Linked DNA regions of Mus musculus. Each later gene encodes a partner of the first gene's protein in a complex. Links are inferred from orthologs where the notes say so. Each region holds a gene or a part of one and is shown on either strand. Other genes may lie near its edges. The genes, in order: Alyref, Chtop, Thoc7, Magoh, Thoc3, Thoc5 and Sarnp.

Evidence for each region.
Region 2: Alyref (region 1) and Chtop share a complex: the UniProt entries of both Homo sapiens proteins name them as parts of the transcription/export (TREX) complex. The link is inferred for Mus musculus from reciprocal best matches to the Homo sapiens genes ALYREF and CHTOP.
Region 3: Alyref (region 1) and Thoc7 share a complex: the UniProt entries of both Homo sapiens proteins name them as parts of the transcription/export (TREX) complex. The link is inferred for Mus musculus from reciprocal best matches to the Homo sapiens genes ALYREF and THOC7.
Region 4: Alyref (region 1) and Magoh share a complex: the UniProt entries of both Homo sapiens proteins name them as parts of the ALYREF/THOC4-EJC-RNA complex. The link is inferred for Mus musculus from reciprocal best matches to the Homo sapiens genes ALYREF and MAGOH.
Region 5: Alyref (region 1) and Thoc3 share a complex: the UniProt entries of both Homo sapiens proteins name them as parts of the transcription/export (TREX) complex. The link is inferred for Mus musculus from reciprocal best matches to the Homo sapiens genes ALYREF and THOC3.
Region 6: Alyref (region 1) and Thoc5 share a complex: the UniProt entries of both Homo sapiens proteins name them as parts of the transcription/export (TREX) complex. The link is inferred for Mus musculus from reciprocal best matches to the Homo sapiens genes ALYREF and THOC5.
Region 7: Alyref (region 1) and Sarnp share a complex: the UniProt entries of both Homo sapiens proteins name them as parts of the transcription/export (TREX) complex. The link is inferred for Mus musculus from reciprocal best matches to the Homo sapiens genes ALYREF and SARNP.

What each region holds. Positions count from the first base shown.
Region 1 is NC_000077.6:120,595,306-120,599,739, reverse strand, and holds the start of Alyref (THO complex subunit 4), read left to right. Parts: upstream 1-1,374; 5' UTR 1,375-1,401; coding exon 1,402-1,635; intron 1,636-1,973; coding exon 1,974-2,105; intron 2,106-3,672; coding exon 3,673-3,820; intron 3,821-4,019; exon of another isoform or gene 4,020-4,132; intron 4,133-4,421; coding exon 4,422-4,434. Other genes in the region: Anapc11 (anaphase-promoting complex subunit 11), read right to left, coding at 372-480. UniProt on the Homo sapiens protein: Functions as an mRNA export adapter; component of the transcription/export (TREX) complex which is thought to couple mRNA transcription, processing and nuclear export, and specifically associates with spliced mRNA and not with unspliced pre-mRNA.
Region 2 is NC_000069.6:90,506,626-90,511,331, reverse strand, and holds the start of Chtop (chromatin target of PRMT1 protein), read left to right. Parts: upstream 1-1,833; 5' UTR 1,834-2,141; intron 2,142-3,705; 5' UTR 3,706-3,722; coding exon 3,723-3,787; exon of another isoform or gene 3,788-4,706. Other genes in the region: S100a1 (protein S100-A1), read left to right, coding at 1-111. UniProt on the Homo sapiens protein: Plays an important role in the ligand-dependent activation of estrogen receptor target genes. May play a role in the silencing of fetal globin genes.
Region 3 is NC_000080.6:13,957,981-13,962,730, forward strand, and holds the start of Thoc7 (THO complex subunit 7 homolog), read right to left. Parts: upstream 3,224-4,750; coding exon 3,205-3,223; exon of another isoform or gene 3,084-3,204; coding exon of another isoform or gene 2,888-3,083; intron 2,237-2,887; exon of another isoform or gene 2,086-2,236; intron 1-2,085. UniProt on the Homo sapiens protein: Component of the THO subcomplex of the TREX complex which is thought to couple mRNA transcription, processing and nuclear export, and which specifically associates with spliced mRNA and not with unspliced pre-mRNA.
Region 4 is NC_000070.6:107,882,378-107,885,446, forward strand, and holds part of Magoh (protein mago nashi homolog), read left to right. Parts: intron 1-690; coding exon 691-801; intron 802-2,539; coding exon 2,540-2,622; intron 2,623-3,069. UniProt on the Homo sapiens protein: Required for pre-mRNA splicing as component of the spliceosome. Plays a redundant role with MAGOHB as core component of the exon junction complex (EJC) and in the nonsense-mediated decay (NMD) pathway.
Region 5 is NC_000079.6:54,465,637-54,470,257, reverse strand, and holds the start of Thoc3 (THO complex subunit 3), read left to right. Parts: upstream 1-1,417; 5' UTR 1,418-1,450; coding exon 1,451-1,717; intron 1,718-2,275; coding exon 2,276-2,432; intron 2,433-3,873; coding exon 3,874-4,078; intron 4,079-4,621. UniProt on the Homo sapiens protein: Component of the THO subcomplex of the TREX complex which is thought to couple mRNA transcription, processing and nuclear export, and which specifically associates with spliced mRNA and not with unspliced pre-mRNA.
Region 6 is NC_000077.6:4,922,673-4,926,656, forward strand, and holds part of Thoc5 (THO complex subunit 5 homolog), read left to right. Parts: intron 1-2,075; coding exon 2,076-2,191; intron 2,192-3,373; coding exon 3,374-3,564; intron 3,565-3,984. UniProt on the Homo sapiens protein: Component of the THO subcomplex of the TREX complex which is thought to couple mRNA transcription, processing and nuclear export, and which specifically associates with spliced mRNA and not with unspliced pre-mRNA.
Region 7 is NC_000076.6:128,845,589-128,849,572, forward strand, and holds part of Sarnp (SAP domain-containing ribonucleoprotein), read left to right. Parts: intron 1-943; coding exon 944-995; intron 996-2,648; coding exon 2,649-2,722; intron 2,723-3,172; coding exon 3,173-3,201; intron 3,202-3,984. UniProt on the Homo sapiens protein: Binds both single-stranded and double-stranded DNA with higher affinity for the single-stranded form. Specifically binds to scaffold/matrix attachment region DNA. Also binds single-stranded RNA. Enhances RNA unwinding activity of DDX39A.

The DNA.
Region 1 (4,434 bases):
CTTTGTAGCCCTGGTTATCCTGGAACTTGCACTGTTTGGCTTTTTGTTTTTGTTTTGTTTTGTTTTTTGTTTTTTTTTCAAAACAGGGTTTCTCTGTGTAGCCCTGGCTGTCCTGGAACTCCCTCTGTAGATCAGGCTGGCCTTGAACTCAGAGATTCACTTGCCTCTGCCTCCAGAGTGCTGGGATTAAAGGCGTGCAACACCACTGTCCGGTGGGGTTTCGGTTAGGGTTAGGTAACTTGTCCTGTTGACCAGGCTAAACTCAAACTCAGAGATCCTCCAGTCTCTGCCTACCCAGTGCTGGGAAACCTAGGGATTTTTAGGCTGGTGGAGTAGGCTAAAGTTCTGAGAGCGCATAGGAAGACACTTACAGTCTGGACAGCAGCCATTAAACGCCATCCTGCAGATGCCGCAGTTCTCATCATTGGCTACCCAGAGCCAAGTGGCCACACCATTCCAACATTTAATTTTCACCTTCATGACAACAGAGCCTGTGACCTGAGGGAAGAGGATGACCTGGAGTTAGTACGGAATACGAAAGCACCTAAGCTCAAAGTCATGGAGCTGCGGCAAGTGCTGCACTCGTCAAGAACGGCATCTTCCAAAATTCCGTGCGTCCCGACCAAAAAGAAAGAAAAAGGCACGTGTTTGTCTTTAAAGACGGCAAGGAGAGCCTGTGGGATTAATGGCACGAGTTTATTTTGCCACCTTTAAGGATGCCTTTAAAGATCTGCACTCATGTAGTCTGGCACGGTGGCACACGCCTCTAATCCCGGGGCAGAAGCAGATCAGCCAAACAGGAAACGAAAACAAACAAAAAAACAAAAACAAAACCTCCGCATCCACGCAAAACATTGGTTTTCACTAACCAGGGCCTCGCTTTTAAAGATATGGAAAGAGTGACTGTCACTAATCCGCGAAGTTAAAGCAGGGGTGAGGACGCCAGCTCGTCAGGAGACCGAGCCTTCGAGCAAAAACAACCAAGTCGGACCCACGGACCGGCCGGGACCCCCACGATCGCACGGTGAGGAGGGACGCGGGACGCGCACACTGCGCTGCACCCAGGCGACGCCCGAGGATCTTCCGGCCTCCCAGGGAGGCGCCCGCAGGCCCCGCCCCCTGCTCGCCCTCGCACCTCCGCGGCCTAATCACGAGGCGCCCCGCCCTTCCGTTGCCTCCGCGCGGGAATGTATAAAAACGACCGCGCCGCGTCGGGCTCCTCCGAAGTAGCGCCAGCCACCGCGGCGAGCCGTACGCAGGCGCTCTGCGGAATCGCGCGCGCCCAGACCAATCGCCGCTCGCTTCGGGCCCGCGACGCCGGAAGGCAGGGGGAGGCGCCGGAAGTGACGCCGCGGCGTGCTGACGCGCGGGCTCGATCCGAGGCCCGAATCCGCGCCCGCCATGGCCGACAAAATGGACATGTCTTTGGACGACATCATTAAGCTGAACCGGAGCCAGCGAGGAGGCCGCGGCGGGGGCCGGGGTCGCGGCAGGGCCGGCTCCCAGGGCGGCCGCGGCGGCGCAGTGCAGGCCGCCGCGCGGGTGAATCGAGGCGGCGGGCCTATGAGGAACCGGCCCGCCATCGCCCGCGGCGCCGCAGGCGGCGGCAGGAACCGGCCGGCGCCGTACAGCAGAGTGAGTGCGGGGACCTGCGGCGCGGGCCGGGGAGGGTGCGCCCGGGCCGGCCGGGACCGGGTGAGCGTCCCGCGCGGGACCGCGGCCGAGGGGTGGGCGGGGGCGAGGCCGTCCCGAGGCCAGGATCTTCCGGGACGCTTTGTCCGGTCGTGGTCCAGCCTCGTGGCGGCGGGGGCCGCTGCGAGAGAACTTGGGTGTCCGTAGCGGAGCGGCGGGGCTGGGGGACTCTCGGGGCTCCTCGACCTTGGCCGCGGGGCCGACGGGAGAGCGTCGCCGAGGTGTCGCGGGCTCCCGGGACGAGTCTCACGAGTGTCTCTGTGCTTACGGTTTCTCTCCAGCCGAAACAACTTCCCGACAAATGGCAGCACGACCTCTTCGACAGCGGCTTCGGGGGTGGAGCCGGCGTGGAGACCGGCGGGAAGCTGCTGGTGTCCAACCTGGACTTCGGAGTGTCAGATGCTGATATTCAGGTAGGAGACGGGAGCTCTCCGCTTTCCTCGTCCCACGCGGACGTGGGCTCCAGGATCCTTTACAGATTGGAACCTGCCCTCCCCTAGGCTGCCCAGAGCCAGCCACTGTCACCCTGAGAGCCTTGGCCTCAGAAAAAGTAGGGTTTGAGCACGACCCCATAAGCCAGGCTGCAGGAAGATGTCACACACTGTGTGTGTATGTGTGTGTGTGCGCGCGCCCCCCTAAAAATGAGTCCTGTCTGCTGTCCAAACTGTGAGCGCCTGCCCTGTGCCAGAGCTTACAGTTTCTAACCTGCACAGACTGGCCACAACTCCGGTCCCAGCATGACCGAAAGGTGCTTGCTTCTCAGATTTATGCTCGATATGGTGAACTGATAGGAGAAGGAAGTCCAGCATCTCCCAGATGCTGAGAAAGGTGGCTGAGAGTATCTTCCAGCCTGCGTCTCTGTGCTGGATCTTAACTGGCGATCTTTCCTGGGTCTTACCTGGGTCATGGTTCTCCATGCCTTCGAAATATTTTTTTTCTCTTCCCCTCCCTTCTTGGATTTTGTGTCTTTTTAAATTTCTTTATAAACTGGACCTCAGAGGCATTTAGAGTTCTCTGGTTACAAGGCATAATTTTGGGAATTAGCTTTGATATAGCCAGAACTGAGTCAGGTGTGCTGGGCCTTTCTGGGTACCGTTCCCCAGAGCCCAGCTGTTTGACCTCCCCATGGGAGAAAAGAACAAGGCTGGTGAGCACTCACAGTGTCTCAACACTTCTTTTTTTTTTAAGATTTATTTATTTATTTTTATGGATTTGAGTACAGTGTCACTCTCTTCAGAGACACCTGAAGAGGGCATCAGATCCCATTATAGATAGTTGTGAGTCACATTGGTTGCTGGGAATTGAACTCAGGTCCTCTGAAAGAGAGCAGCCAGTGTTCTTAACCCCTGAACCATCTCTCCAGCCTGTCTCAACACTTTTTTTTAAAGGTGGTTTCTGGCATCCACTGGAAACTGCTTTAGCTAGCTGTACTCCCCACTGTGTGCCTGCAGCTGAAGTGCCTTACTCTGTGGGTTCCCTCTCCAACTCCCAGCCAGGACAGGTTCCATGCTGCATTTCACTTCAGACTTGGCAGCAGCAGGCAGTAGGAGGAAAGGGGAAGGTGAGCTAGAACCTGCCTTTGCAGTAGGGGCTGTGTCACAGTTCCCCAAAATACTGGGCCCTTTGCGTTGTCTGCTCAATGGACAGTTTTACTATTGGCCTCTGGTATTTAGTGAAACGCAGTTAGTCAAGTTGAAAGTACCCCTGCTGAGAGAGAGTTTTGTAGTTTTGTCCTGTGATAGGACTTTGTGTCTTCCCTCATCTACAGCATGGTGTAATTACATTGTCCCACAGTGGACAGTAACCCAGTTGTTCGCGACAGTTGCTGTCTCCCCTTCCCTCAGCTCTTAATCTCCACTGCCTTGCCTTCTTCCTGGGTGGCTGTCAGTCAAGTACCTCTAAAGCATAAGGACTTACAGCAAGTGTTGCTGAGCTACAAGAAGGAAATTGGCTTAATTGCTAATTTTTACCCCTTCCCAGGAACTCTTTGCTGAATTTGGGACATTGAAAAAAGCTGCTGTGCACTATGATCGCTCTGGACGAAGTTTAGGGACAGCAGATGTGCACTTTGAACGGAAAGCAGATGCCCTGAAGGCTATGAAACAGTACAATGGTGTCCCTTTGGATGGTGAGTCTGGGACTGGGCCCTGGATGCCTGTGGGGCGTGTGGAGTTTGGGGCTGGCACCTCTCCCTGTAGGAATCTGGGCTGCCCCCCCCCCCTTGGCTGAGGATACTTTGCATTTGCCCCTTTGTCTCTCTCTTCCATTCTGCCACCTCTCATGCTGCCCCACACATCTGGACCAACCTCTTGTGAACCCCCATCCAGCAAGCTACATCCCTCCCCTCCTTGAGCTCCTTCCGGAAGATTCACTTCTGTGAAGCCTTCTCAGAACCGCCATAGTACAACCTGAGTGCGGGGCTGTAGTCGTAAAGACAAAGGTACCTGTTCTTCTTCCGTCAGGTCACCCACACCTGTCTGCCCATGAGCACCCTGAACACCTGACCAAACAGCCCTCCTAGCCTGAACTGAGAAGGAGTGAGGAGGTGTTGGTGGGGTTATTATTATTGCACTTTATTTTCCCACCAGGCTCTCCAGGCCATTTACCTTGTTGGGGGCATTGGAGACACACAGAGCCCTTTCCAGAGCTTGCATGGAGATCAGGGTGTGGTGCCCTCTGAGTCAGCTTCAGAGCCTCTGGAGTGAGACTTCTTGTGTTCTTTACCATAGGCCGCCCTATGAA
Region 2 (4,706 bases), on another chromosome or scaffold:
ATGAAGGAACTGGATGAAAACGGAGATGGGGAAGTGGACTTCAAGGAGTATGTTGTGCTGGTGGCTGCTCTCACAGTGGCTTGTAACAACTTCTTCTGGGAGACCAGTTGAGCACAGTCTGTGAGCAGTGCCCTTCCTCTCCCACTTGTCAAGATTTCCCCTTTAGCGTGCTTGCTCCTCACCCCACCTGTACCTCCCTATGTCCCCATCCTTGCCCAGTCTCGACGTGCACCAAGGGCACAAGAGTGGCAGTCCAGATCTGCCACTTGTTTTAATAAAGCCTTCTCTCTCACCAGCTATCAATGTCTGTACCCTCTGGGCATGGCTATGTGTGAAGTAAGGGGTGCTCACTCCCAACACCTTATCTTGTCAAGTTTACATTAGTTCCTTATTTAAGGAACACTCAAAACCCAGAAATGTAGGGGTCCGAAAATTTTAGCTGGAATCCAAGTGTCATTGGCTTCTCAAGGATTTGTATGAGTAATTGGTAATACCAGGACTTGAAGGATGAGGCAGGAAGATTTTGAGTTCCAAGCCAGCCCATACTACATAGCCAGAAACAGAAATAAACAAGCCATCAAAAAATGTGGGGCTGGTGAGATGGCTGAGTGGGTAAGAGTACCTGACTGCTCTTCCAAAGGTCCGGAGTTCAAATCCCAGCAACCACATGGTGGCTCACAACCATCCGTAACGAGATCTGGTGCCCTCTTCTAGTGTGTCTGAAGACATCTACAGTGTACTTACATATAATAAATAAATAAATCTTTTTTAAAAAATCTGAAGAAAGCTAGAAATGGTGGCACGTACCATAGTTAACACCAGCTCAGCACCTGGGACGTAAAAGGCAGGAGGATCTCTGTGAGTCCAAGCCCAGCCTGGTCTGTATAGAGAATTCTAGAACAGCCAGAACTACATTATAGAGACTCTGTCTCAAAAAAACTACCAGAGGCAGTGGTGACACACGCCTTTAATCCCAGCACTCGGGAGGCAGAGGCAGGCAGATTTCTGAGTTCAAGGCCAGCCTGGTCAACAGAGTGAGTTCCAGGACATCCAAGGCTACACAGAGAAACCCTGTCTCGGAAAAAAAAAAAAAAAAAAAAACAACAACAAAAAAACAAAACCAGAAAACAAAACCAAAAAACTACTAGAAGAACTTTTTCCCAAGCTTCATTCAGTGTTTATTGATGCCTCATCATTGCTAGACATTATGTAAGAACTAGGGATACATAAGTGGGGATACAGATTTGCTTTATTGGATTACTTGAGGTAAAAAGACCCACCCTAAAACTAGCCACATCTTCTAGAGGCAGTCCCTATAAAAGGATGTAGATGAGTCCAGTGTGGGTCTTAAATCCCAGTACTGGGAGGGGCGGGGTTAGGGGGGGTCAGGAGGTGGATCTTTGTGAGTTCGAAGCCAGTCTGGTCTACACAAAGGAAGCCTGCCTCAAAAAGAAACAGAAACTCTACAAATAGGTTTGAGGGCCTGAGCAAATTAGCCAGGTCTCAAGGTCCTAATAAAGACTTTTTACAGTTGTCTTTAGCTTGGGAATGGGAAATAAAAGGATACAAACACTGTTGCCAATCTAAGCTGCTATTTGCAAGCCAAAAATCCCACCAAAGTGGGGCATAAACTTGTCCAGAAGGTAGTCTAGAGGTACTTAGCGATTACGGCCACTGGCCACGCCCCCGAAGGCGGAGCACTACACGTAACTTAAGGGATCTTTGCCAAAGTCAGTGGGGATTCGCTGCGATTCTTGCGCTAGGCCAAAGGACCATGTTGCCACGCCCCTAGTTGCGCGCGCACTGACGCAAGCCCGTCGGCGCCATTTTAGCCGGTCACGCTGCACTGGTGGGCCCGGCGGCCATTTTGTTTTGGACACCAAGCGGGAGTTGGCGGCGCCGGCTCTGGGGGCCCAGACGAAAGGCAGGAAAGGGCAGGCTTGACGAGCGGGAGGATCGGTCAGCTAGATACTCAACCCACAACGAGGAAGCCTCACATCCTACCGTTTAAGCATCTAAGCCAACCGCCCAGCTAGTTAACCCGAGCGGCCCGCCGTCAGCTCAGGTTAGGCCGGCCTCCGGGCCGCCCGCCGCAGCCGTGGTGGCAACCCCGGGAGGAGCGCTGGCGTCCATCTCCTTCGGTGAGTTTCTGTGGAGAGGGCAGAGGTGGAGGGGCGCGGGGTCCGGGGCCCGGTGGCGTGGGTGGCAGGTGTGGACCGGGCTGAGGTGCGCAGAGGCCGGGGAGGGGGCGGAGCCGGGAGGCGGAGGCTAAGCCGGAACCGCGGCCAGCGAGCTGGGCCGCTAGCCGTGCGGGTGCTGCTTGTGGTTGGCGTGTCTGGTGCAGGTGCTGGTGCTGGTGGTGCTGGTCGTAGTGGTTTGGCCTCAAATCCAGTGTCTTGCTTACCTAGATAAGCGTCCTCCATCGGAGCCAAAGCCTCGCCCCAGAATAGCGTTTGATGGGGATAACCACGGAAATAGTCGCCTGATCAAAGTTGGAGTCCTGAGAGGCTTCGAGGTGGAGGTCAAATGAGGAGTACAGGAATTAGCGGCGGCTCTGGGTGTTCGATTTTGATTCTTTTTTTTTTTTTTTTTTTTTTTTTTGCGGCACCGAAGTTGAACCCAAAATCGTACTTTGGCTAAACTAGCGCCCCGAGTTAACATCTCCAGCTTTAAAAATAATAATAATCTTAGTTTGAAACAGGGTCTGTCAAATCACCCGGGCTCGCCTTGAGCTTGTGACCCCCTTGCCTCAGCCCCTCCCCAGTATATGCCACTACAGTTAAAATATTGTGGTGTGCTCTTAACAGAGCTCTCAGATTGAATACCCATTTAGAAAACCTCTTCTGTCTTTCCCCTGCCATGTCTAACTAGAGCTCCACCTGCATTTGGAGTTGAGAATCGATTTTGAAACTAGGCTTTTCTTTTTATTTTGGGTGTATGAGAGTCCGGTCCTCACAGTGTGACAATGTAACCCGTTACAGCCTCAGACTGTTACACCACTCCCCTGTTGCTGCTGGGAATTGAACTTCCCAGGGCTTCATCAGTGCTAAACAAGCACTCTACTGAGGAGCTATATTCCCAGCTCCTCCATTTCTCTAGATCCATGACCCTCAACTTTCTATAGACATGTAAGATGTACCTGGGTAGCACCCCCAATCCCAGTTGCTGTACCCCATCCTCATGGCCAGATTGTACTTTAATTGGTCTGGATCCAGGCATCAAGAATTTAGTTTAGTTTGGGAGGGACTTTTTCTTTTTTTTTTTTTTTTCAAACATTCCTCAGCTAAGTCACATACAGTCCAGGCTGAGAAGAACTATTGAAAGCCAAACTCCTAGGCTTTGGCTACATCTCATTCTGCTATTTTGGAGACTTTGGCAGATGTTCTCCATCCTGGAGCTTTGAAATTTTTATAACTATTGTATGGACGTAAGCCCCCACCTCACAGGGTTTCTCTTAGGTAGCCGTGGCTGTCCTGGAACTTGCTATGTAGACCTGGCTAGCCTCGAACTCAAAGGGAGCCACCTACCTCTGCTTCAGGAATGCTGTGACTAAAAGTGCACCACCACCACCACCTGGCAAACTTAAGATCTCATGATACCATCTTCAGAGTTAAAAATATAGGCCTTTAACAGATTTATGCCTTGCTTCTTGTGAAAATGCAAGCTTCATTATTTTGATTGACTCATGCATATTGTCCTTTGTAGATTCTCGGGATTTGAAGATGGCTGCACAGTCAGCGCCGAAAGTTGTGCTAAAAAGCACCACCAAGATGTCTCTAAATGAGCGGTGAGGCAGCCAACAGCAACTTCAGCTCCTTCCTAAGAAAACATTACTTAAATTGACCCTGGGGTCCAATACAAAAAAAGCCAGTTGTAAGCTAAATGACAGAAGGCTACAGACCTCTGTTCTTAATTGCATCTAATGTGGTACAAAACAAATTGGGCAGTTGTTTCAAAACCCCTTATCAGTAGATTTTTATATTAAGCTATCTGAAATATTTACCTGGTGGGATATATTTTTTAAAAGACTCCTCACACCCTCCCTTCAATTTTTTTTCCTAACATTGATACAGGGGTGGTGCAGCATGATGGTATGGTATATCCTGGCTGCAAGAGGCTTGCTGCCTAGTCCGAGGCCAGCAGTGTTGTGTCTGGCCTGTAAGAGGCAGGTAGCAAGCCGAGACTATGTCCAAAGGCCCCTGAATGGCATTCTTGGGCCTTGTAAGAGGCACTTGCTTTGCTCCATTTCACTTTCTTCCCATTCTGCTTTTTAGTTTGTTTTGTTTTGAAATCTTTCATCAGCTGTGTGTTTACTTCTATTAAACTTAATCATAACAGGAATGATAGAATAATGTCCTCTTAGGCTCTTAAGCGACTTAACTAATTTAACTTTCTCAGAAGTCCTGAGTCAGAAAGAGTGGTTATTTGTATTTAAAGGCAGTTTTTGTTTCTGAGAATTTCATTTATTTGGTGTCTTTCACCATTTTATTATGTTGTTGCTAGAACTCCCAAGGCATTTAATTTAGTGCCTGTGTTTGCTTCAGAAGCACATGTGCTTCTCTGTTCATCTTTTAAGATGTGATACATTAATTTCCTGTATTCATGTGTTACTAAGTAACATGTTAGAATGTAATAAACTCCCATAACTCATGAGTCTGTTATTTCAGTGGACTTTGAAGGTGCTCTGATCCTTCCTCCTGTTTGTC
Region 3 (4,750 bases), on another chromosome or scaffold:
ACACCATTCAGCCTTTACGTCTGGAGTGCTGGGATAGGAGGCGTGAGTCACCACACCCAGACTGACTGCACTATTTTGTAATTGGGTTTGATGCCTACAGAGGTCTTCTAAAGATCAATTAAATTAAGATCAACTCAATTAAACACTAACAAAGACTAGCACTTATTTTCATTATCACAGCAACAATTACTCGTACAAAAGGTGTGAGCAATTTGTACACAAGATGTGAGTGAATTCTGAGAATGGGAAGCCTTGCACTTTTGGTGTAGAATTAGCACCCATTCAGCACACTGAGGTGTCTAGTTAGAAGGACATACACCTCAGAGGAGGTAGAATTTGACTGGCTCTTTATCAGTCCATTCCATTTTCTCACCTATGATGCCCAGTGCTGGGGATGTGGCTTAGCTCAGTGGTAGATTACTTGCTTAGCATGCAAAGGGCTCTTGGTTCAACCCCTAGTAACATGCATATACACATAGTGACACACATGTTACTGATATCTATGTTCCAGCATCTCTCCCTCTAACCTTCCCCTGAACCTTGCACCTCATATTTGCTGATGGCTTATTTAAAACTGACTGCAGTTCAATTTTCTTCCCCCAAAGCAAAGGAAGGGGCACTTAATAGAGACACACTTCTCCATAGAGAAGTGGAAAGAGGTTACATAGAGAAGTGGAAAGAGGTTAGCAAACAACTTCTGTGTTTAGGAATATTTACTAAACTTTAGTATGTATTTGATTCAGTACAAAGTCCTTTATAACTTTTACTACATTTCATTTTCAAAACACCACTCCAAGGTAGCTTTTATTGTTTCTTCATCAATGCAGAAAATTGAGTCTCAAAGAAGCTGGGTAACCTCCACAAAGGGGAGAAGCTTGTAAATGTAAAGTGGGGCTTCCTCTGGCCTCCAAGGACTAGGGGCTCAAGTTTCCTTCTCTCACCAGCAGAATCCAGTCCTCTTTTGGAGCAAGGCACAGAATCGTCCAAGTCAGAAACCTAAGATAACCTCTGAGCTCCCGCATCTGAGCAGTCCTGACATTCTCTATGAGTTCTGTTCACTTTTTGAATTCCCTCAGTTGGAGTTTTGTCATATTGATCAAAGACCCCCTTACCTTCCACTAACCCACTACAGAAGGGGCTAAAATCAGACCACGCTAGCTGGGCTGAAATCGGCCTCAGCAGTTAAGAGCATCCGGCTGTTCTCCCACGGGGACTGAGCTCAATCCCAGTACCTACATACCAGTTCACTACTACCTGCACCTTCTTCAGCCCCACAGGACTGAATACTCTTCTAGACTCTGTTGGTTTTTAACTCACTGAAACTCTGTTATTTAATTCCTTTGGGTACTGGATTCATCTATAAAATGGGGATAACTAGAACACTGTGCAACACATGCTGCAAAATATTATATAAATGTTAGTGAAAGAGAGAGTGATGTCTGCAACCCCCTTCCCATTTCCTCAATATTCTCCAAAGAGTAGAATGGGTCTGTGAATTGTAAACGCACATCTGGTGCTGAAGATTTGGATCAGGATGTAAAACAGTTTTCTAATGAACAGGACTATGGGTTCTACTCTCAGCATTGCAAACAAAGGCGTCAGTTAATTAAATAAAAGCAAATGTGATCACATCACAGTAACAGTTTAAAACTTTCAATGACTGGACGCTGTGACATGTGCCTTTTGTCCCAGCACCCAGGAGGCAGAAGCAGGGGGAATCTCTGTGAGTTCCAGGACAGCTAGAGCTACATAGAAAGACCTTGTCTCTTTTTTTCTATCTTTTTTTTTTCTTTCTTTTTGTTTTTTTGAAACAGGGTTTCTCTGTGTAGGCTGGCCTAGAACTCAGAAATCCGCCTGCCTCTGCATCCCTAGTACTGGGATTAAAGGTGTGCACCACCACTGCCTGGCAAGACCTTGTCTCAAAACCAAACCAAATAACAACAAAAACCCTTTCACTGGCTTTTCCTGATCTTGGAAATTTCATGGTGTAAAGTTTTCTAAGTTCTATATGCCATCTTGAATTTCTTTCATCATTTTGGCAAGTGGTTGGTCACTTGTAATTCCAGTTTTAAAACACCTATTTACCCTTCAAAGGAAGGGGGAAAGCAAATTTGTCAAGTTTTCTAATCACCAGTAGAAAGACCACCTCAGTTCAATTCCCAGGACCCATCTGGTGGAAGTGAAGAAGTGACTTCAGCAAGTGTCCTCTGACTGCCACTCTAGTAGGGTGGCCTGCCTGGGGGAGGGAGGGAGGCAGAGACAGCTCAAAGAGAGGCAGGCAGGCGCGCGCGCGCGCACACACACACACACACACACACACACAGCCACCCTACCAATTTTTAATGTTTACAGCCACTGCAGACGTATAAGAGGAAACACCTTTACCTGCTGCTTCTGGGTATCAAACGTGTTCAGTAAAGTATTGCCTAGAAGTAAGCTAAGTACTTCCTGAATAAATTAAACTCGAATTAAAAAAAAACAAAACCAAGGTTAAAATCCCCCCTACCAAGTTCCGAGGCCTTTATTTATACCCACATCGGTATTTCCTCGGCCCGTCCTCAAATTTGGGCCGATCGTTGTTCATTTCTGGAAGTCCCCTGTTTCTCCACTGGGATCCATAGCTATTGATCAGCCCATCAAACAACATCAAGCCACCGGAACCTTTCTACCAAAGCGGGTACCTTCTCAGTTCCTGCTCCAGTTGCCTATCGTGTCAGTCCATCCTTCTCCCAAACGCGCTCTTATTTCTGCTCTCAGCCCACAGACATCTACTGTCCACCATCCATCACTCCTAATCCACTCAGGCCAACAACTCACCCGCTCCAACATGCCTTCCTTTTGTTGCCGCGGTCCAAGCCGCCGGCCTCTTCCCATGCTGGCGCCTTACCTTGTAAGTCGCCCAGATACACTTCCCGACCGGCCCTCCAGACACCCCTGTTCCTCTTAGCCGCCGTCCCCAGCTCGGGGTCCTCACTCCACCGCCCTCCGAGCTCCTGCGCTCCCTGGGGCCCGCCGCGCTGCCCGTGGGCCCGACCCAGCCCGGCCCGGGAAGCCCCCCAGGCGGCCCCCTCGGGGCACTGCATCGCCCGGGCCGAGCGAGCCGCCCTGCGCCTCTCCCCGCCGCGCACCGCCCCGGGAGCCCCCCACCCCAGACGGCCCGGATCCCGGCGCTGCCCCGCGTCCCCGCACCCGCCGAGGCCTCACCGTCAGTCACGGCTCCCATGGCGTGCGCGGCGGCGGCGGCGGCCGAGCTGAGGCGGCGGTTGGCGGCGAAGGTCAAACTCCCACAATGCAGCCGGGTAAACAGTCATGGAGGAGGAGGCGGCGGCGCCCGCCGCCCTCTCCGACTTTTGAGTCGCGCCGGCGCGCGCGCCGCGCCGCCGCGGACCCGCGCTCGCCGCTCTCCTGGGGCGCGGAGCGGCCGGCGGGTGAAGGGCGAGACGGGCGGCGGGAGGGCGGGCGGCGGCGGCTGGGCCCGGGGACACCGCCGTCCCGCCCTGCCCGCGCCCACAGGCCGCCCTGGAGGCCGCGGCCAGCCGCCAGGTGAGCTTCGGGCTGCGCGCGCTCGCGGGGCTCCGCGCCTGACGCTCCAGGTGACCTCTGTCCCGGGCTGCCCCGACCGTGCGCTCCGGTGGGACGGGGGCGCGGCCACTGCCGCCGTGGGTCTCGAACCCGTATTCTTGAGGCGGGCGCGGCAAGCCATCCTCCCTTCCTGAGCTCTGGCGGGTGCTGGCGAAGCGGGGGAAAGAAACTTGGTCACCTGTCTGGGGAGCGTCACTCAGGACCCAGGGCTCAGGTCCCTCCGGTTCTCACCTCTCATCCAGTTCTCCCTCGCTGCTGGAATCCAGATGGGGTGCCTTCATTTTCATACTAACTTTGCTTTTCAAAAACTGCTTCTTAAAGGGAAGTTGAAAGTAGGTGTTGGGGGTGGGGGTGCTGCTCATTGCAAACACATTACTTGGGGGTGCGGAGTACACATTTCTAGAACACACTGCAGGTTATAGTGTCATCTCTTCTGAAAAATGAAATAAACCACCCCCCTCCCGGGGGGGGGGGGGGAGTCGGGCAGTGAATGCGCTCGCCTTTAGTCCCAGCACTTGGAAGGCAGAGGCAGGCAGTCGAGGCCAGTCTGGTCTACAAAGTGAGTTCCAGGACAGCCAGGGCTACACAGAGAAACCCTGTCTCGAAAAACAAAAAACAAAACAAAACAAAACAAAAAAACAAAACAAAACAAAACAAAACAAAAAATCATTTTGATTCAACATTGAGGAATGTTCTCCTAGTGGAACCATGTTCCTGTTGAGAGTTGATTTGACCTCCAACAGGGTAGAGTTTGACTTTATAACCCAGGTTTTTGTTTATCAGTTTTCATGATCCCAATCCCTTGAACCTTCAGATCCTGCATAAGGCAATGGTGTGGGGTCATTTTTTGGTTGTTGAGATTTCTTAAGTGGGATCCATGCATCGGCCCTGTGTTCCCTCAGTTCTTTCTAGCGGAAGACTTGGGATCATTCAAGGGAGGTGGTTTTTAACCTCTAGGCAGAACTATGTATGGGTCAAATACAGTATCTACTTTTGTCACAAAGGCAGAAATTACCCTGAATGAAGATTTTGAAGCATAAATGACCTCTTCCAAATGTGGAACTGCTCGCTGACTTTTTGAAAGAGTACTGGTCTAAAGGCTCCTCCTAACTTGGACTTTGGACCATGTTCATTTCCTTGGCGTAGGAAGGAGGGTAATATTAATCTT
Region 4 (3,069 bases), on another chromosome or scaffold:
GCCAGTGAGGCTCAGTGAAATTCTCAAAAATAAAGAAGAGATTATTTAGCTCATCACTCCAGAGGTTCAAAATCCAAACACCGCTGCAGTAGTGAGAATGGGTGTGTGGCCACGCAGTGACCTCTCTCACCAGGAGAGAAACACACAGACATTGGAGGCCCACAATTCCTCTGCTGATATGCTGCAATGATCTAAGAACCCACCATTAATTCCCACCTCTTCAAGGTCTATACCATTTCCCATAGTACCACCCTGAGGACCAAACCTTTAGTCACATAAATGGAGTTGGGAAGGCCACACTGAAATCATGTCCAAGCCATAGAGTAAAGGTGTATCTCTGTCCATTTGCACTGCTATATTAAAATGCCTGAGACTGGGTACAAAGAATAGATTCACCTCTCAGTGAATTCCAAGGCCCTGTCAGGTTGGTTGTGTGGTGAGGACCCCATCTGTTCTATATGGTGTCTTATTGCTGTAGCCTCCCAAAACAAACTTTGTTCTTCACATGACAAAGGGGCGAAAGGGGACCAGATAATTCCCTTGCCTCCTCTGCCCTTGAGCCCTGATCTTTACTAAAGGCTGTGCCTCTCACTCTTCTCACTATTACTTTCTGAGTTGGATGTTGTTGGGGTGCGGTGGTTTGAAGGAGAATGGCCCCTTTAGGCTCATACATTTTAAACTTGATTGCAGGCTTATGTGCATAAAAGTGTGATGGAAGAGTTAAAGAGAATTATTGATGACAGTGAAATCACCAAAGAAGATGATGCTCTGTGGCCCCCTCCTGATCGCGTGGGCCGGCAGGTGAGTGCTTTATTGACTCTACTTTGTACTTCTTACAAAGAGGAGGAGGACTGCTGCTCTATGGGAGGAGGGGTCCCTACAGAACTAGGAATACCCTGTTCTAGGGAATCATTAATTCCATGTTGGTGTTGGGGATGGAACTCAGGTCCTCTAGATGGGCAATCAGTGTTCTTAACTGAGCCAACTTCCCAGTCCTTTATTACCATTTTGATAACTAAAAAAGTACAAGATAATTCCACCTTGTGTGCTACTTACTCTTGTATTCCAGACTTCTGTAGTCTGTGTTTCTCCTGTCTTGTATAGCCCCATGTTTCTATCCTAATGCTAGGGGTGTGGAGGCGGGGGAGGCCTAATTGTGGTGGCGTACACATCTAATCCCAGCACTAGAGAAGCAGAGGTAGGCGGGTCTCTGTGGATTCTAGGCCAACCTGGGTCTGCTTAGCAATTGTAGGCCAATCAAAGTTATATAGTGAGACCCATCTCAAAAAAGCAAAACAACAACAACAACAAAAAAAAAACCAAAACTTTTTTTTTTTTAAAGGAAAAGATTTATAAATCTGACTTCATTAAAGTTAAAACTTAGCTAGGAAGCCGGGCGTGGTGGCGCACGCCTTTAATCCCAGCACTCGGGAGGCAGAGGCAGGCGGATTTCTGAGTTCACACCTTCAATCCCAGCATTCAGGAGGAAGAGGCAGGTGGATCTTGAGTTCAAGGCTGGCCTGGTCTGCAGAGCAAGTTCCAGGACAGCCAGGACTATACAGAGAAACCCTGTCTCAACAAACAAAAAAACTCTTAAAAGTTGTTTGATAAAAGACATTAAGACAAAGTTGAAACAAACCACAGACTGGGTGAAGATGCTTGGAAAATGTATTTAAACCAATAAAAAGATAACCTGGGGTAGGGGAAATGTTGCAAAGGTTACAAGTAGACAGTATATAGATTCAAATAATAGCCAGCAAACACAGAAAAAATTTACAGCTGCAGTTGTAACCTGCAAAAGTAGGAGAACACTTAAAGTCTCACCCAGGTCTTCAAAGGCATAGAAGGAGCCACTACACTGCTGGTAGGAGTGGAGTGTCCGTGCAGCCCCATCGGCAGCCATGTGGATAGGAGCTAACAGAGTGGGACTTCAGACCTAGCCCCAGGGCTGGCACAAATGTTTACTGAGCTCAGCCCCCAGACCTAGAACATTCTTGCCACATCATTTATAGTAACAGAACTTGGGAACTTAGGTCCATTCAGTAAGGAAATGGCATGTTGAGAGCATTTACGTGTTGAGCAGCTCAACGAGGGTAAATCTTAGACACGGTGTTGAATGAGAAAGGACATATACACGTGTGCTGTGGCCATTTATTTAAAAAGCAAGTGGAAGGAATGCACAGCAGTTTTAGGGGCTGTCAGAATAGAGTGGGCGACAGGCATTAACCTGTGTTTCTTTTAAAAGATGGGGATGGGGAGCAGCAGACGGATCAGTGGGTAAAGGCCCTGAGGGCGCACCTGGCGCTATGTTCAATTTCCATAGCCCAAGTAAAGGAGTAAGGAGAGAGCGTCCACAGGTAGTCCTCATCCCTCCATGCATATGCATGCCTACATGCATAGATCTTACACACACACACACTGCAAGCACAAAGACCAGAGTGTGGTTGAGCCCTCGTCCTGTATGCTTGGTGAATGAACCAATACTGTCTGACTTTGAGAGAGATATAATTTCTTCTTTTTTTTTTTTTAATGTTTTTAGGAGCTTGAAATTGTCATTGGAGATGAACACATTTCTTTCACAACATCAAAAATTGGTTCCCTTATTGATGTCAACCAGTCCAAGTAAGCATGCATGACATTTATCATCAGTTGTGTCTGTTGTTGGAGATTCAACCACACGAGGCCAGCAGAGAAAGATGTGCAGACATAACACAAAAGTGGATGGTGTGGCCGGGCGTGGTGGCGCACGCTTTTAATCCCAGCACTCGGGAGGCAGAGGCAGGCGGATTTCTAAGTTCAAGGCCAGCCTGGTCTATAGAGTGAGTTCCAGGACAGACAGGGCTACACAGAGAAACGCTGTCTCAAAAAAAAAAAAAAAAAAAAAAAGTGGGTGGTGTGGTCCTCCTCATAGGGGCTCCAGGTCACAGTGGTTCAGTATCATGGAAGGGTTGGTTTCAGGAATTCTGGTACTAGAGTCTTTAGTGCTTAATTTCCTTATATAAATTAGTGTCATGTTTGCTTGAAGCCTATGTACTTCCCATATAAGTCATCTTTATAAAACCAAATTCT
Region 5 (4,621 bases), on another chromosome or scaffold:
GAGGCACCATCCCTTGTTCTGTTTTGAGAAAGGGTCACTCATTAGCCCGGGACTTGCCAAGGAAGTTAGACAGCTAGCCAGTGAGTCCTAGGGATCTGCCTGTCCCTGTCTCCCCAGTGATGGGGTTATAAGCCTGCGACACCACAGCTGGCTTCATAAGGACATTTTCACACGAATATTTGTTGGATATATTCCTCTGGTGTCCCCTATCCCTGCACAGTTCTTCTCCAGTGCTTGGCGAATCCTGGCTGTGCACCATTGTTTTTTTCCACCCGGGTATCTTTTGGTTTAACAGAGACATAAGTGGGAGGATCAGAGATGTGAGCATGGCACACAAAATGGTCATTGTACTTTCCGCTATTTTCTTTTAGTTTACTATCATGTATATACAATATCCTTTAACAACCAAGATCAAAAGACAGAAAAACGTCTTGGGAGGCAGAGGCAGGCGGATGTCTGTGTGTTCGAGGCCAGCCTGGTCTGTAGAGTGAGTTCCAGGGCAGTCAGGGATACACTGAGAAGCCCTGTCTTCAAAAACTAAAAACAAAAACAAAACCCCCGAACAAACCAAATCTCAAATTAACCGAACAACTTTTCCCAAGTCCAACCGACAAACCCACATTTCTTTTTTCTTTTTTTTTTCTTTTTTTTTTTTTTTTTTTTTTTTTTTTGGTTTTTCGAGACAGGGTTTCTCTGTATAGCCCTGGCTGTCCTGGAGCTCACGTTGTAGACCAGGCTGGCCTCGAACTCAGAAATCCGCCTGCCTCTGCCTCCCGAGTGGTGGGATTAAAGGCGTGCGCCACCACGCCCGGCTCAAACCCACATTTCTTATCAATTCCTTCATTCCACAAACATCTAACCTTTCTCCAGGAGCGACAACTTGCAATGGCCTTTTGCTTTAAGGGCACGATGAGGACCTTACAGTGAAAAACAACTCTAGAAAAAAGATATTTTACATGCAGGTAAACTGGAGGATTTATCTTGACTCTCTTTTTTGAATAAGCAAGGCTACCAAGAAACTGGTAAGAAGACCATTTAAAAAAAAAGTTGAACTCTTGGTGGGGGGTGGGGAGGGGGAGGGAAGCAAGTCGGGCAGTGGTGGCACACGCCTTTAATCCCAGCACTTGGGAGGCAGAGACAGGCAGTTTTCTGAGTTAGAGGCCAGCCTGGTCTAGAGTGAGTTCCAGGACAGCCAGGAAACAAACAAAGAAACCCTGTCTCGAAAACAAAACAAAACAAAACAAACCAAACAAAAAAAAGCGAATTTAAGGAAGAATCAGTCCTATTTCAAAAGGGAAAGGTGGACGCGCGCTGCATGGCGGGATTTGTAGTTCCGCGAGTGAGAGGCGCCAGCGCGGAGCGACGCGGCGCTTTTTCGGCGCATGTGCAGGGCGACGGCGCCAGACTCAGAGTATCCAGCTTCCGGCGCGCGGTCCGTGAGGAGGGAGGCATGGCGGCGCCCGCTGCGGTCCTGGGCCCCTCGGCCCTCGGCCAGAGCGGCCCCGGCTCGATGGCGCCCTGGTGCTCAGTGAGCAGTGGCCCGTCTCGTTACGTGCTCGGGATGCAGGAGCTCTTCCGAGGCCACAGCAAGACGCGCGAATTCCCGGCGCACAGTGCTAAGGTGCACTCGGTCGCCTGGAGCTGCGATGGCCGTCGCTTGGCCTCGGGGTCCTTCGACAAGACTGCCAGCGTGTTCTTGCTGGAGAAGGACCGGCTGGTGAGCTTGTAGGGCACGGGCTTGGCGGAGAAGAGGGCTGTGTGCGGAGGGAGAAAAAGCAGGAGAGGTAGGGGTATGGCCTGTCGTTGGCGGTGATGAGGAAGGGGTTTGGGGCTGGAAGAGTTGGAATGACGAAGGGGGTGAGGCTGCCTGGCGGAGAGCAGAGAGCGAACTTAGTGGCAGTAAAGAGGTGTGGCGACGTGGCTGCGGGCCGGGGGAGGTTGAAGTCAGGTGGCAGAAAGTGGTGAGGGTCTAGAAGAGCCCTGGTGACGAGTGGCTAGGGACTAATGGGGTGGTAGAGCCCCTAGGGTGGAGAGGAAGGCTTTATTTGAAAATGATAGCGCAGGACAGGTTGGTTGAGGTGGTGGTGGAAAAAGAAAGAAGGGAGGCCAGGAAGGGCCAATGTCAAAGCTCAGAGAGGTTCATGGGGGGGGGGGGGAGGGGGTGTTGTAGTTTTGGAAAAAGAATTAGATTTCTGTTTTGAATTATCCAGATCTTTGCTGGTTTCAAGGCACCACTGTTTGGATAAAAGTGGCATCTGGATTCTGTTCTTTTAAGGTCAAAGAAAACAACTACCGGGGCCACGGAGATAGTGTGGACCAGCTTTGTTGGCACCCAAGCAACCCTGACCTCTTTGTCACCGCATCTGGAGATAAAACCATTCGCATCTGGGATGTGAGGACTACAAAATGCATCGCCACTGTGAATACGAAAGGTGAGTTCAGAGAGAGGGGGTTCTGGAGGAAAAGCTAGTGTGATCTGCAGCAAGCATCTTTGTAGCAAGTGCAGGTTATCAGGATGGGTTGTATGTGTCTGTCTGGAGAAGACAGGAACAGAACAGAGCACTTTTCTGGCAGGCTGTAGATGTATAGGAGAGCAGTGGAAACTATACAAGAGTAGTATGTGCAGAGGCGTGGAGAGTTTGGGAGATTCAGGCAGGTTACAATGGCTGAGAAACCATGGGCGATCTGGAAAGTTGTGCGTTTTGTTTAAAGGCTGTGTTCAAAGAAGCAGTGTGGTAGTTTGAGTAGGCTTGGCCCAGGGCATGGCACTATTAGGTGTGGCCTTGTTGGAGGAAGCGTGTCACTGTGGGTGTGGGCTTTAAGACCCTTATCCTGGCTTACCTGGAAGCCATTCTTCTGTATGCCTTTGGATTAAGACGTAGAACTCTTAGCTCCTCCTGCTCCATGTCTGGTTGAATGCTACCATGGTCCCACCTTGATGATACTTGACTGAACCTCTGAACCTGTAAGCCAGCTCCAATTAAATGTTGTTCTTTATAAGAGTTGCCTCGGTCATGGTGTCTCTTCACAGCAGTAAAACCCAAAGTAAGGCAGGCAGTTTTGTTGATTTTAGATTTTTTTTTTAATTTTCATCTGTGTGTGTGTGTGTGTGTGTGTGTACGTGTGTACGTACACGTACCACATGTGTATAGGTGCTGGAAGAAGGCGTCTTGTCCTCTATAAATGTAGTTATAGGTGATTGTGAATTGTGGGTACAGGGAATTGAACTTGGGTCTCCAGGGAAAAAAACCCAAGTGTTCTTAACCACTGAGCCATTTCTAGCCCCACAGGGGAGAAAATGTGTGTGTGTGTGTATACACACACACATACATATATATACATATATATGTACACATATATTTTTGAGGGGGAGACAGGGTTTCTTTGTGTAGCCCTGGCTATCCTAGAACTCACGGTGTAGACTAGGCTAGACTCATGAACTGAGAGATCCACCTGCCTTTGCCTCCCATGTGCTGGGTTTAAAGGCATGTATCATCACCACCAAGCTCCCACAATAGAATTCTTGATACACCTTCTGATAGATTTTTAACTGCACTATAGACAGTAAAGTACAAAAAAAAAAAAAAAAAGGTGTTTTGAAAAAAGGTTTAATGAAGTTGAAAATTTTAACCTGTGTTCAGTGTGGACACGCGTGACTTTGATGAGACTGGTGCCAGGGGTTGGAGTGGGGAGGTGCTTTGACAAATGTCTAGACTCACGGTCGCCTCTTGGTCATCGGAAGCTTCCTTCCATTGATTTGGTGAGGAATAAGTGCTGAAGGTAGCTCTGATCTTCTTTCCAGGAGAGCAGAATAAACTCTGGAGGCCGATGGGCAAAGGTGAGCTTGCTGACGGATTATATCTGGGTTCCCAGGGGAGAACATTAACATCTGTTGGAGTCCCGACGGGCAGACCATCGCTGTGGGCAACAAGGACGACGTTGTGACTTTCATTGACGCCAAGACACACCGCTCCAAAGCGGAGGAGCAGTTCAAGTTTGAGGTCAATGAGATCTCATGGAACAACGACAACAACATGTTCTTCCTGACCAACGGCAATGGTTGCATCAACATCCTCAGGTGAGGCACTGGCCGGGGTTGTCAGACCTCTGCAATGGCCACCCTGCCTTGCAGGGAGGAGTTAACTGTGAGCCTGTCCCAAAAGACTTGAAAGATAGAGAGAGTATTAAAGAAAAAAATCCTACCTTCTTTTAGGCATTCTGGATTTTATGAATTCTTACTGATACTGATTATACATTTTTCTGTTGATCCTGAGGGAACTGAGGCTTGTAAACATTCAATTATTAGTCAGCCAGCCCAGGATACTTTGATGCACCTTGAATTGTGGCTAATTCTCTCTCTAAAAGTTTCAGCTTAAATATCACTTTCCCTCTAGCAAAGTCACTTTATCCTCTCCTCTCCAAGATTAGAGGGTTTTAGTGTATCTTAATGCCCTTCCTATTTCTTTTTTTTTTTTAAATTTTATGTGTATGGGTGTTTTGCCTGCCATGTATGTCTATGCACCATTTGTGTGCTTGCTGACTGGAGTGTCAGGTCTCCTGAACCTGGAGTTAGATACAGCTGTGAGCTGCCATGTGGTTGCTGGGAATCGAACTCTGGTCC
Region 6 (3,984 bases), about 120 Mb from region 1:
CACAGGGGTCACTGACATCATGCACAGGCGTTAGGCTGTTATCCTACCCCTGCCTCACAGCAACAAACACTGGGCTGAGAATGTCCTTCATTCTTTGATAGGTTGAGTGATGTAATAGCATTTGTGGGCTGGGGATATAGTTCAGGGGTAAAACACTTGCCTAGCATACCTGAGACCTTAGATGATTTCCAGTACCACAAAAGATAAATTAAACAGAATGTCCCAAAGCTGGAAGCATTATAAAGAAGAGCTTATTTAGCTCAAAAGTTTGTGGGTTTGCTTGTTACAATTTTTATTAAATTTATTTATAATGTACGTGTGTGCACTCAGATGTAAGACACACTCGCACGTATGCACACGAGTTATATATCAGAGGACGGCTTGAGGGAATCACTTCTTTGCTTCAGCCTTATGGGTTCTAAGGATCAAGTCGGGTCGAGGTGTGGGAGCAGGCACTGTTACCTTCTGAGCTGTCCCACTGGCCCGCTTTGTTTGTTTCTTTGTTTGTTTCGTTGAGACAGAGTCTCATGAGGCTCTAGCTGGTCTGGAACTCACAGAGATCTGTCTAACTCTGTTTTAATTTTGTCCTTGAGATCAGCTCAAGCTGGCCAGAATCCATTATGTAGTCCAGGCTGGCCTTGAACTCCCCATCTGCTTTTTTCTTAGCCTCCAGAGCACTGGGATTGCGCACATGAGATACCATGCCTGGTTTAGCTTTACTATTTGAAGGCTGAAAGTCCCAGGTGACCTGATGACAGCCTCGTGGCAGGTGATAATGTAGAGATGTGGAGAAGAAGGCACAGGTGAAAAGGAAACCAGAGGGAGTTGGGAGCTAATTCTGTTCTATAGCAGCGTTCTAGACACTAAGCAGAGTCCCAAGGCCCTTAATCCTTTTAGAAGGCAATTCCCTCTCATCCAAAACCCAGCTACCTCTCACGAGAGCCCGAGTCTTCAGATTCAACTGGGCAGCAGCACAGAGCTACCAGCTTCTTGTATAAATATCTTTGGGTAATGCATATGAGCCAAATCAGAAGGACCAATCCAAAGCCGTCTGGGAGCCAGGAGAGGGCTCGAGGTTAAAGCGCTTGCTGCACAAACCTGATGACCTGAGCTTGATTCTCAGAAGCCACGTCAGCATGTGGAGTGCAGTGCAGTGCAGCTCTAATCCCCGCACTCCTGGGGGAAGAAAGGTCAAAGGCTGTCGCCAGAGGGGAACTTACTATATGGAGATAGTTTATTCACCGATTATGAAAGCAGATTTGATGCCAGGCTGTTCCGGTTGAGCTCAGTCCTGTACTTCTGCAGCTCCTTACTGGTAGAGAAGTTTCTGTCAGAGCCTCACAGTGACAGATGTGATATGAGGAGCTGGGACCATTTGCCGCTAGTCCTAGGTGGGAGTCAGAGCAGGAGGATCAGGAATTCAAGGCCATCCTTGACTATAGATTGAACTTGAAGCTAGTTTGGGCTATGTGAGACTCTCAACAGCAACAACAACAAATTCTTGAAAGAAAGAAAAGGAAGGAAGGACAGGGAGGGGGAGGGAGGGAGGAATGAAAGGAAGAGAGGGAGGGAGGGAGGAAGGAAGTGGGGAGGGAGGAAGGAAGAGGCTGTAGAGATGGCTCAGTAGTTAAGAGCACAGGCTGCTCGTCCTGAGGACCTGAGGTCAATCCCAGCACCTACATGGCAGCTCACAACTGTCTGTAACTTCAGTCCCAGGGGTCCAGTGCCCTCTTCTGCATCCCAAAGGTGATGTATGCATGTTGGTGCCAATATACATGGAGGCAAGCAACCAAACACAGGCATACACACACATGCACACACGACGTTCTCGAAGTAGCAGGGTTTTTAATCCATTGACAAACCCCAGCAAGTAGAACAGGCTCTTTGGGGGAACCAGAGTCGTTGTGCCTTACACTGGGGACCTGGCAGCTCAGCTTGCATCCTAAAGCAGTCTATACCAGCATACTCAGCAGCACTTCAGTTAGAGGAGCCATTTGTGTTGGCTCTGGACACGTGTGGAGATCACCATGGAATGCTGGGTAATCACTGAATGTCTGCCTCTCCCTTCTTCTCAGCTAAACTTCAGGCTGCTGTGGTACTAAACCCTGGCTACTCCTCCATCCCACCGGTTTTCCGACTCTGTCTAAACTGGAAAGGGGAGAAAACCAACAGCAACGATGACAATATTCGGGTAAGGCCCACGTGGGTGGCAGGAGACCAGGGAGAGCCCTAGAGAGGTGAGCAGTGGCCAAGCCTGCAGTTGCTGAGGCTGTGGGCAGTGTCACTTTCAGGACAGGGCCTTACCAGGATTTACAGAACGTGCTCACCGCTTAATTTCCCTGACCCACAGCTTTTCCCATGTAGTACTGTTAGCACTGTTAACTGGCAGTGTCTGTGTACCACTCCAGTACCTGACTGGGGGTGACGAGGGAAAAACAGACACACAGACAGCTGCAGTCCAGTGTCTGACTCGGCTGGAGAACCCTTAGCCCACCCCCAGGCCCGGCATGTTTACTACGTAAGATTGCATAGGGAAGCAGGGCTACAGAGATGGATCGAGGAGGCAGGCTTAGCCAACCTCAACAGGAGCAGGCTGTAGGGAGCCATCTCCAGGCTGTAACTACCCAGAAGGAGAAAGCTGTGGTGGACACTTTGTGTCCACACCATCAACATCTACACACAGATGAGAAGAGAAGGCTCTGGCATTCCTCCTGGCCTCATATCAGGCAGGGGGAGGCTTTGCTGTACTTGGTGGGTCTGGGGCTAGGGTCCTAGATAGGCCAGTTCATGTCAACAACACACATCCACTCGGGGTCTCCTGCACTTAGGGTTTCCTGCACTCCCTTCAGCAAGGTGTGCCGGCACACACTTTTAATCGCAACACTGGGAAGACAGAATAGACAGATCTCTAATCTCAAGGCCAGCTTGGTCTACATAGTAAGTTCCAGGCCAGCCGCCTAGTGAGACCCTGCCTCCAAAAACACCCAAAAGGTTTCTTGTCACCTTGGGCTTCTGTGTGATGGTAAATAAGCTCAGAAGTATTATAGAAACTCAAATTCAGTGAGAGTGAGTGCTGTAGTGAGAGTGAGTGCTGTAGCTACTGTCAAGGACAAGTCTCTTGGTGGCCACAGAACATGTCTTCCTCTACATGTCCATGGTCCTTGCTGGAGGTGGCGAGGTGGGTGATAATCAGGAGGGGCCCATTGTCTTGAGGAGACGGGGTCTCTGGACGAGGTTGTAGCCCAGCTGTGTACAGATCCTGTGCAGGCATCAGCAGGAGATCTTGTGGTACCGTCAGGCTCAGCCATGAGGTAAAAGTGCTCGGCCATACTGCGGAAGCAAATGCTGAGGGTCTGGCTTCCCACCCACACAGGCTATGGAGAGTGAAGTCAACGTGTGCTATAAGGAGTTGTGTGGCCCTCGGCCCAGTCACCAGCTCCTGACCAACCAGCTGCAGAGACTGTGTGTGCTGCTGGACGTCTACCTGGAGACCGAGAGCCACGATGACAGCTTCGAGGGCCCCAAGGAGTTTCCCCAGGAGAAGATGTGCCTGCGGCTTTTTAGGTGAGTAGAGGGCTGGGCTCTTGTGACTTTCCTCAAGGATGTGAACAGAGATCGCAGTCCTCTAGAAGACTAGGTCTCATTGGACAGGACCTGGCACACAGAGAGGGCATCTGTCTTTGTGGCAGACAATTCTGCAGCCAGATTTCCAGGAAACACTTGTTTTCTCTTTCCTGAGACTTCCCTGCAACTGCAGCCTGGCTCACCTGTTCTTGTCAGCCCATGGATCAAGCAACCAAGGAGACTGCCCTGACTGAGCCATGCTACAAAGCTTTGACTGAACTTTGATTGTTTTTTTTTTGTGGGAAACAGCAGGGCCTGTTTACTTTTAGTCTCCAAGCGAGCACTTAAGGTAGTGCATCCCCACTGTCCCTAGTGAGTGTGCTGGCATCTAAGTCCCTTGGTGTGACTCAGGACAGTGGG
Region 7 (3,984 bases), on another chromosome or scaffold:
AAATATACTTCTCTATCTTGTTTTAAGTTTTTTTTTCTCCTGAGCCAAAACAAATATTGTAGGACTTCCTTATGGTCAGCAGGGGGCATTCTTTGCTTGCCTGTTAGTCTAAGGACTTCCAACAAAAAGATGGAGGAGAATCAGGTTCCAGAATTGCTTCCTCTGAAAATGTCATTAAACCATTACTACCTTTCAGGGCATCAAATGGGAAAAGTGTTTGGGATATTGGAACAAAAGCTGCCCATGTCTCTAAATAAGGGACCTTAATGAGACTGGTTATGACCCGCAGTTTTATGGGAGTTGTTTGTTGGAGAGTTAATGCCCTTCCATTTATCCTGGGGACTTCCGAACTTTGTCTCCTGCCCCTGCGGTCCCCCTCTTTTGTTTTCTCTTAAGCCTTTTGACCAGTAACTCGCCATGTTTTCCTAATTCAGCCTTTCTTCTCCCACCCACTTCCTGTGGCATTTTTATTTGTTCTGCTTTGACGGTTTCAGCTAGAGCTACAATCCCACGGGAGCAATAGGGACTTATAAAAGAAGGAAATCAGGGCTGGTTCAGCGCTAGTTAAATATTGTGATAAAAATTGAGTTTGTATATAATTGGAGGTTGGAGATACAGTTCTTAGTTCAAAAGTAACTATAAAGTGTCTAAAAGCAAATGAAATGACTTATGTGTGTGTCCCTTCATCCCTGTATTTTTAGCCTGACTTCTTTGCTGATTATGGTCTCGAACTTCAGTTAAAATAACTTAGTTTTATTTTAATTTTTCTTCTCAGTTGATGACAGTTCAAGGAGTCAGACTTGTTATGGACTTCATGTTTCTTTGGATTAAGGGGTGGTAGACACATGTGGGGCAGAGGATATAACTCAGGTGATTCTTGCACATTTCTAATGCTTTGGGTTAAGATAGCAGTTTTCTGACTTTTAAAAATCTGTCTTCTTAGGGCATCGGAAAAGAAGGTGGTAAAGATTACATCTGGGATACCTCAGACTGAAGTAAGTATTCTTTTTTAAATTTTAATTGAGGTGTGGGTGGGGCTGTGAATGCATAAATGCCATGGTATATGTGTGGATAGAGGACTGCCTTCACTTTGTTGAGGTAGAGGTCTCTCCTTTAAAAACATTTTTTAAAATTACATTTTATTTATATATGGGGGAGCCGTGTTTGTGTGCGAGTGCGCTTGTGTAGGTCAGAGGACAACTTGGGGGAATTGGTTTTTCTTCTAGCATGTGCGTTGCAGAGATAAAACTTAGGTTGTCTGGCTTGGCATTAAAGAACATTACTCACTGAACTATCTTGCTGAACTTAGTCAGGACTCTTGTTTCCAGTGCTGTGATGTGTACACCAGGCTAGCTGGCCCATGAGCTTCCAGAAGATGACAACCTCCCATCTTGCCACAGGAAAACTTGGTTTATAGCTGTATACTAGCACATTCTGCCTTTACATGGGCTCCTGTTATCAGACTTGCACAGCCTGCACTTTCAACTACTGAGTTCTCATTTTTATATTTATTTTTTGTTCCTTAGAATAGCAATTTACTTTGTAGCTCAGGTTGGCCCCAAACAAAATCTTTGTACTTCAGCATCTCGGGTGTTAGGATTCTAGGTATGTGCCACCATGCCTGGCTGTTCCTGTTTTTAACCTTTTCTCTGTCATCATCATTATGTAAAATTTTCATTTAGGGCTGTTAAGTTGGCACTCTGGGTAAAGATCTCTGTGGCTAAAGCCTGAGTTTGATCCATGTAAATAATTTATTCATAGACAAATTATTTAAGGGAATTAGGGGAATATTGACAATTGATGTTTCTTTCTCCACCAACTCAGGAAAATATTTGGACTGGCATAGTGAGTTGTTATCTTTAAGCTGTCATAGATTACATATACCACTGTAGCCTTAATAGTAACTTAATAAGTCTATAGGTATAGGATTAGAGTTTGAGAGGATTGTGTGTACTTTGGAAAAATAGCAATGGCAGATACTCCTTTAAGTTGTTAGTTGTTAGCTGGTGAGAGTGAAATTTCTTTGGATTCTATCTCAAGATGTTTGAAATCAGGTTTCATTTGAGATCTTGTGTTCAGTTTTGTACTTTCAAGGTAGAGGGGTTGTTGTTGTTTTTATACAGGGTTTCTCTGTGTAGCTCTGGCTGTTCTGGAACTCACTGTGTAGACCAGGCTGGCCTCGAACTCAGAGATCCACCAGCTTCTGCTTTTTGAATGCTGGGAGTGTACCTCTATGCCTGGCTTATAGTTGAGATTTATTCACTTCTTTTAGAATTCAGGCAGGAAGTGATGGTGGTGGTGGTGGTGGTGGTGGTGTTTTTAGATTACCTGTACTGGAACCAATATGCTCCTTTGATATACTATCCCCCCCCAAGATACACTTTTTCAAACAAGATAGAACTTTTGGGGTTTGTGTAGAATATGGATTTTATTCTTTTTGTTTTTGAGAATGTGAATACGGGGAGAGAGAGAGATTAATTGATTGATTGCTTTCTAGAAACAATTGTTGTGTTAAGCCTTAGAATGGCTGCTACCTGATATGGTCTAAAGTTGTCAGTATTTCCGTTAGATCTTAAGAAATGACCATAACCAATTTTTTTTTTAAACAAGAAATTACAGTTTTAATTTTTTCATTTAATATCACTTAGAGAATGCAGAAGAGGGCTGAACGATTCAATGTACCTGTAAGCCTGGAGAGTAAGAAGGCTGCCCGGGCGGCTAGGTGAGTGCTTCTACCTGTTTGGATACAAGATAGAAATGTTATGGTGGTGTAGGGGGTCAGATCTTTGTTTCTTGTTATAGTTGTTGGTTTTCAGTAGAAGTGTTTTCATTGAACTTAATGAATACAGTTTGGGTCATACTCAGGACATTTCTGCTGATTTGGATGTTATAGCTTTCACTGAGTTTTGCCATCTTTGGTCAGGGTTTTTATGATAGGTAAAAGTCAGGAACTGGCAGCTGCTCCTGAGTCTGAAGAGTTCGTTTAGTGGACTCCTGGACTGTTGGTGAGAAGGAGAGTAAACTGAACCTCTTTCATGGGGTTGTTAGAATTAGCTAATGATTGCAAAGTTTGAGATCACAAGAAAGAAGTGTCATGCACCCTTGACACGGACACAGACAACTAAGGGTGTGAACAGCTTCCTAAAATTTAGCTTGTTTTTTCTTCTTACAGGTTTGGAATTTCTTCAGTTCCAACAAAAGGTGAGAATACAGAGGTTCTTCTGAGAAAGTTTACTTTGGGTTTTTTTCTGACTATAGATTTCATTCCTCCAAATTAGATAACTTTGTTGGCTCTAGAAGCCCTTAAGAGGCTCTGCATTTGTACCCTTCAGACCTCATGAATAATCGAGAGAACGTCCTGAAGTTATGGGGAGGAGATCGCACCATTGGGTTTCTTTTTTAGGACTTCTGAGAAATCTTTAGTACCTTGTTCATTTATTTTTGTGTCTTACTAGCATAAAACTATGTGTACTTTTTTAGTGCTCTGAGCTAACATAGTATTAAAGTGAAGGAGACTGTATTTAACTTCACAATTTTGTTTTTAAGAATTTATCAAGAAGTAACCTCTGATATACTTAAAGACTTAGCCATGAGGCTTGTGTTACCACCATATATATTGATCAGTAAATTGGAAAAAAAAACATGTATCCAATACAGTATTAACTGGTTAAGTGTAAACTGTAGTATATTAGACTATGTAGAATGTTAAAAACGATATGTTAAGGGCTGTGGAGATAGCTCAATGGGTAAAGTGCTTGAAAAGAATTTGATCCCCAGAACTCACATTTAAAAAAAGAAATAAAAAAGCAGGCTATGTAATGCGTGCTTATAATCCTAGTGGTTGGCAGGCAGAGGCGGGTCGGGTACCTGGGCTCTGGCTGGTCGTCCTGACTAATTGGTGAATGTTAGGCTAATGAGAGACCTCTCTCAATAGAACAAAACAAAGTAAACAGATCCTGGGGAACCATACCTGAGGTTGTCCTC